2 linked regions of the Xenopus tropicalis genome follow. The protein of the gene in region 1 purifies or fractionates together with the protein of each later gene. This does not show direct contact. Links are inferred from orthologs where the notes say so. Each region holds a gene or a part of one and is shown on either strand. Other genes may lie near its edges.

What was found. Proteins that work in one complex are often made in the same cells at the same time.
Region 2: the proteins of map3k2 (region 1) and traf7 purify together in Homo sapiens (affinity purification with mass spectrometry; 3 studies listed by BioGRID and IntAct, with this or other methods). This does not show direct contact. The link is inferred for Xenopus tropicalis from reciprocal best matches to the Homo sapiens genes MAP3K2 and TRAF7.

What each region holds. Positions count from the first base shown.
Region 1 is NC_030685.2:86,477,504-86,481,634, reverse strand, and holds the start of map3k2 (mitogen-activated protein kinase kinase kinase 2), read right to left. Parts: upstream 2,801-4,131; 5' UTR 2,435-2,800; intron 1-2,434. UniProt on the Homo sapiens protein: Component of a protein kinase signal transduction cascade. Regulates the JNK and ERK5 pathways by phosphorylating and activating MAP2K5 and MAP2K7. Plays a role in caveolae kiss-and-run dynamics.
Region 2 is NC_030685.2:19,240,272-19,243,223, reverse strand, and holds the end of traf7 (E3 ubiquitin-protein ligase TRAF7), read right to left. Parts: intron 2,145-2,952; coding exon 2,025-2,144; intron 1,886-2,024; coding exon 1,871-1,885; 3' UTR 501-1,870; downstream 1-500. UniProt on the Homo sapiens protein: E3 ubiquitin and SUMO-protein ligase that plays a role in different biological processes such as innate immunity, inflammation or apoptosis. Potentiates MAP3K3-mediated activation of JUN/AP1 and DDIT3 transcriptional regulators.

The sequences.
Region 1 (4,131 bases):
TACAGGTACTGTTTTATTATTACAGAGAAAAGGGAATCATTTAACCATGAAATAAACCCAATAGGGCTGTTCTGCCCCCAATAAGGGGTAATTATATCTTAGTTGGGATCAAGTACAGGTACTGTTTTATTATTACAGAGAAAAGGGAATCATTTAACCATGAAATAAACCCAATAGGGCTGTTCTGCCCCAATAAGGGGTAATTATATCTTAGTTGGGATCAAGTACAGGTACTGTTTTATTATTACAGAGAAAAGGGAATCATTTAACCATGAAATAAACCCAATAGGGCTGTTCTGCCCCCAATAAGGGGTAATTATATCTTAGTTGGGATCAAGTACAGGTACTGTTTTATTATTACAGAGAAAAGGAAATCACTTTTAAAATTCTGAATTTATTTGCTTATAATGGAGTCAATGGGAGATGGCCTTTCCGTAATTCAGAACGGAATTCATCTGGATAATGGGTTTCCGCATACAAGATCCCATATCTGTATTCCTTTACTTACAGGTGGTTACCAGCACCCTATCCAGGCTGATTTTAGAGGCCGTCTTAGTGTTCCTATTAGGGATGCACCAAATCCAGGATTCGGCCAAGATTCTGCCTTTTTATGCAGGATTCGGATATGGCCTGGTTGAACCAAATCCTTAAAATCATGTGCCTTTTGGCCACATAAACACAAAGTAAAACAAATTTAAGCAAGCACGACCCAGAAATAGTGTATTTGGTGCATCCCTAGTTCCTCTGCAGAGCAGTGACCATAGCACGGGGCCAAACAATTGCCCTTCCCAAACCATATCTGTTTGGACCTGTACAGGCTGCAACTGGAGAAGCTGGAAAATCTAGTTGCCTAAAAATGAGAGCAAGTTTAGTGACTTACTGCACAGCCCCTATCCGTCAATGCTTCTAGCCCCCCCACCAGAAACAAGCAGCTAATTTACACCACTGGATTGCATGACTTGCTGGATCAGCTCCCAGGAATCTCCCCCGTCCCTGACTGATCCCCTTAGGGCTGAGCTACACTGCGTGCAACAACACCAGATCCTGTCGGGCGCTACTAAATCTGATGAGTTTATGAGATCTTCCGGTCAATGTATCTCTGCAACAGCGACTATAAAGCCTTAGTACAGGTATGGGAGCCATTATCTGGAAACCCGTTATCCAGAAAGCTCAGAATTACGGAAGTGTCATCTCCTATAGACTCCATTATAAGCAAATAATTCTAATTTTTAAAAATGATTCCCTTTTCTCTGTAATAATAAAACAGTACCTGTACTTGATCCCAAATAAGATATAATTTCCCCTTATTGGGGGCAGAACAGCCCTATTGGGTTTATTTCATGGTTAAATGATTCCCTTTTCTCTGTAATAATAAAACAGTACCTGTACTTGATCCCAACTAAGATATAATTACCCCTTATTGGGGGCAGAACAGCCCTATTGGGTTTATTTAATGGTTAAATGATTCCCTTTTCTCAGTAATAATAAAACAGTACCTGTACTTGATCCCAACTAAGATATAATTACCCTTATTGGGGCAGAACAGCCCTATTGGGTTTATTTAATGGTTAAATGATTCCCTTTTCTCTGTAATAATAAAACAGTACCTGTACTTGATCCCAACTAAGATATAATTACCCCTTATTGGGGCAGAACAGCCCTATTGGGTTTATTTAATGGTTAAATGATTCCCTTTTCTCTGTAATAATAAAACAGTACCTGTACTTGATCCCAACTAAGATATAATTACCCCTTATTGGGGCAGAACAGCCCTATTGGGTTTATTTAATGGTTAAATGATTCCCTTTTCTCTGTAATAATAAAACAGTACCTGTACTTGATCCCAACTAAGATATAATTACCCCTTATTGGGGGCAGAACAGCCCTATTGGGTTTATTTCATGGTTAAATGATTCCCTTTTCTCTGTAATAATAAAACAGTACCTGTACTTGATCCCAACTAAGATATAATTACCCCTTATTGGGGGCAGAACAGCCCTATTGGGTTTATATTATATGTAAGTAGCTCCCCTATTCTGTATAATAAGAGAAAATACCATTCCAATCACCATACACTTTCTTCCCTCATTCTCTGTGGGTTTAATGTACTTGCCAAGGCAATTGCTTCTGACTGCTGCACTGCTGGCTGTGACTGCTGACACAATGTAGCAGATAGCAGCTGATTCCCATGGCAAACACAAATATTAGCCACACTTGCCCCCCCATGACACCCTCAGACATTGCTCCCCAGCCCCAATACATCATATAGCCCCCCTGTAATGCCCATAGCACCCCCCCTTTACAGTTGTCCCTCCCCCATAACAGCCCCCAATGAATTCCCCCCCCCTCAGAGTTCCATAAACACTAATAGCCCCCCAACACAACCCCCCCAAAGCCTGCAGCCCCCTTTAAAATGAATGTGTGGCCCTTATACCTGTCAGCTGAGCCGGGGGCCCGGTTGTACTTCCCAGAAGCCCTTGCAGCTCCGACTCCAGCAATCCCCCGCCCCCAGCCTGTTCCTCCCGGGGGGGGCGGGGGGTCACAGGCCCGGGGGCAGCGGCGGCAGTGTTATTCCGAACTGGGCCCGCTCTTCACAAAATGGCGGCCATCCCGGAACCCTCGGAACTTGCACAGGCCCCGTAACTGCTCCGCTTACGAAAAGGCAGCCGCGGCGTAAGGGTTAATTAATAAGGAGCGACGGAACCAAACCGAGCGTGTGAACCTGGGACTACGGGACCGAGTACGCGCACGTCACAGGGGGGAGGGGCTAGCGCCAGCAGAGACAAGCACGGAGGCGTCAATAAAGGGGAGGAGCACGGCTGTCATCGCCTAGAGACAAAACTTTCAGCTTATTGGCCCACAGCCTTGTCTGTCATTTCAACAGGGGATGGCTCAAGCACATGCGCAATTCGATTGGCTTGCGTAAACTCTCAACGACGGAATTCTGGGAGTTGTAGTTGTGAAGCTCACGGAGATGCGGAAGCTGAGCGTTCAGATTTAAAGTGATAGAGTTCCCTACTTGTGAGGGGGTTTTGCTCGTGTTTAATTTTCATAGAAATGTGGAATAAAAAAACACATTCGGTTGATAATGTATCACTTGTAGTATATCAGTGTCGCCTTATACCGCGTTAGACCGGGGTGGCCCTTCTCTTCCATTCCATGGAGTTTGTCTCATAAAGGTTTTATTCAAGGAAATAATGTCAAGTTGTTAATAGACAACATTAAGGGGTTCTGTGCCCCCCATATAAAGGCACAAGGCTGCAGGCTGAGTTATACAGGGAACTCTGAGTATCACTCATGTATTATAAGGGATAATGTACCCCCTACTGTAAATGATAAGGATATTAGCAGTCACTGAGGGGTTCTGTGCCCCCCATATAAAGGCACAAGGCTGCAGGCTGAGTTATACAGGGAACTCTGAGTATCACTCATGTATTATAAGGATAATGTACCCCCTACTGTAAATGATAAGGATATTAGCAGTCACTGAGGGGTTCTGTGCCCCCCATATAAAGGCACAAGGCTGCAGGCTGAGTTATACAGGGAACTCTGAGTATCACTCATGTATTATAAGGGATAATGTACCCCCTACTGTAAATGATAAGGCTATTAGCAGTCACTGAGGGGTTCTGTGCCCATATAAAGGCACAAGGCTGCAGGCTGAGTTATACAGGGAACTCTGAGTATCACTCATGTATTATAAGGGATAATGTACCCCCCTACTGTAAATGATAAGGATATTAGCAGTCACTGAGGGGTTCTGTGCCCCCCATATAAAGGCACAAGGCTGCAGGCTGAGTTATACAGGGAACTCTGAGTATCACTCATGTATTATAAGGGATAATGTACCCCCTACTGTAAATGATAAGGATATTAGCAGTCACTGAGGGGTTCTGTGCCCCCCATATAAAGGCACAAGGCTGCAGGCTGAGTTATACAGGGAACTCTGAGTATCACTCATGTATTATAAGGATAATGTACCCCCTACTGTAAATGATAAGGATATTAGCAGTCACTGAGGGGTTCTGTGCCCCCCATATAAAGGCACAAGGCTGCAGGCTGAGTTATACAGGGAACTCTGAGTATCACTCATGTATTATAAGGGATAATGTACCCCCTACTGTAAATGAT
Region 2 (2,952 bases), about 67 Mb from region 1:
CTGCTTTCAACAGGCTCTAGCCCCCATTTCTGCATATCGGATCCAATGATAATGTGTTCACTTTACTCCCATTAACAGAATTCATTTGATTACATATTTTAGCATGGAATGCAGCAGTCAAACTGCCTGAAACCTTTCCATGTGCCTTGGGGCTTGCTACCAATACAGCAGAGACAGCTAAGGTGGCCATACATGGACCATTAAAAGCCACCAACTCTGGTAAGGGCTTTTTGTCTAACCAATCTCTAGGCAAAAATCAGTGCCATCTGGTGAGGACTGCATTGTTGCACTGATGTGCTTCTCAGCTGGCAAGCTCTTTCTAGGCCCATATTCCAATCCTGTCATTGCCCAGGGGTCCGAATGGTATTTGGCCACACACAGAGTCAGCCTAACCAAATGAGTGTATCTAATAGTGTACAGTATGGCCAGTTTAAAAGTATAAAATCATGCACAATCTATTACCAGCAACATTCCACATAATATAGCCAACAAAAATGGGATCTTTGGAAACCAATGAGGCGACAGCCTTAGCTGCAATTTTATTAGAAAGGAAATAATCAGTTGTCCAGTCATTCTATCATACAGGCCTTAAAAACAGTAGAAAACAGTGAGCTATAAATGGATATCATTGCATGTGGAGTGGGAGGTTGGGGAGTCGGACTAGGTGAGATATGGGAATAAGCGTACCTGGGATATTGGCTGCTGTCAAATGCTTGGAAAGTGATGGGATTCTCACATTAAATATACCAGTTTCTGCACAGTCCTGTGTGACCGGAGTGCTTGCGAGGCTGTTTGTATAGATGTGAGACCACCAATGAGGAAGATGCATTAGTGTTGCGGGTCAGTGTATAACACTCACATCGCTATGGACCCCTGCAGATTTGGCAACGCCGTCAAGGGAAGGAAATTACAGCACCATTTCATTATTCAAAGTCCTTTGTGGGGGGCCCCATATGTACATAGTTATTAGAAAGAACGTGCATATGTGGTGCTTACGGCGCGGCTTCCATCACTTGCACAAGTACAACGTACAAAACCGTGACTATAAAGATTACACGGTGACTGGACGAGCATTGTCTGCGCTAACCGGGACCCCACACTCTCATCCTTTGCTATACAAACACTTGGCTTCATGATTTGCAGTAAAGAAGATACTTCCAGATTATCTATCTCACTCATACTGTAAATAGTCTGGACACTAACGCGGACAATCACCCAGATATGACAGGGTGTTCGGTCTCCTCTGGAAAGAGCCTACCAGAAGGGTTTGGCATTCAGACTGCCCCGTAATTATCTATATCACAGTAATTGCATCCTTAGTGTAAAGAAATCACATTGAGCGAAACCTTCCCTCTGCCTGACGGTGCCAAGCTGTAGAACAAACACACCAACTACAGTATGTGGTGCCAGGAGATGCCCCCACAGGTGCTGACCCACAGTATTAGGTTGCTTGAGGAGAAGGTAAAAGCTGCAGCTAAAGAGAGTGGGTTTGGTTGTGTTTGGTGAGTGTGGCAGCCGAGTCCCTTCCTCACACTGGAAAGTGCTAGTGATGCAGGCTATTTACACAAGTACACGAGCAGTAGTGAAGGTTTCACCCCTCTGCAAAGCAGCTTAGAGTTTCAGCATCACAGGAGCAGAATAAGGACAATCCAGCCTGAAGAAAGTCAGTGTCTCCCAATTTTGCGTGAACGCCCTTCCAAGCCCGGCCTAAAAGGTCTGCCAGCCCAAAGTGTCCATTGTGAAGTATAAAAAAAAAGTCTGCTGCAAACACGTGGCTGGCACTGTGGCAGATCCTCCAACCAGCAGCGGTATAAATGCCAGGTTATGGGACATGATTTGCTGAGTCTGCCTTGGGCTTTGCACGCACCATTTAGCAAGTCCAGACCTAGGACAGAGAGCAGATATATGTCAGTACATTATATGATGAGGCTTGAGGGCTCTGTAGGTTTCTCGTCACTTGCAGCCTCATATATATATATATATATCAGCATGATATGTTCCTAAAGAAGATGGACTAAACCTACCTTCACTGTACTGTCCACTGCACCAGAGAAGAGGCGCCCCCGTGACACTGCCAGAGCGGTGACACTACCCTGATGTCTTAGCAGCGTCTGGGTGCATATCATGTTGTCCATACTCCAGACCTGTGGGAACATGAATCAGTAAGTAACGACAGGGAAAATACAATGTAATCAGTTTTCACAATGACCCAAGCACAAACATGTCCAACATGGCATCTTCTGCTGCTGGGGAGCTGCAATGCCCTATGGGTGGCTGAGAAGAGAGTTCAATGGCAACCAGGCCTGGGATACAAAATAGGCATTTCAAGTACACAGAGGCCCAAACAGCCCCCCCCAGCCCAATAAATAGTGACTGTCTATGGCATCTTACAGCAGCCCCTCTGGCATTTGCCAGAACCCACAGATTGCCAGTCCGGGCTTGATATCAACCAGAGGGTGCAATGCTGACATTTTTGGCATCTTCTGCTGCTGGGGAGCTGCAATGCCCTATGGGTGGATGGGAAGAGTTCAATAGCAACCAGGCCTGGGATACAAAATAGGCATTTCAAGTACACAGAGGCCCAAACAGCCCCCCCCAGCCCAATAAATAGTGACCGTCTATGGCATCTTACAGCAGCCCCTCTGGCATTTGCCAGAACCCACAGATTGCCAGTCCAGGCTTGATATCAACCAGAGGGTGCAATGCTGACATTTTTGGCCTGTGGGCAGAATGTTCTTCTAAGGAGACCTTCCTCCAGAGGTGGTGGTTAATTTTTCCCCAAATGTCTGCACTGACACAATAGGCTGCCATAAACATACATTATCTAGGAGAGATGACCTATGATTGGTCACTGCACCTACTGGCTTGGACATGGCTTACGAGTGGAACAAACAACTGAGCTGATTATTCAGTCCATTACTTGTTTGCAGGCTGATTATGTCAGTGGGGGCC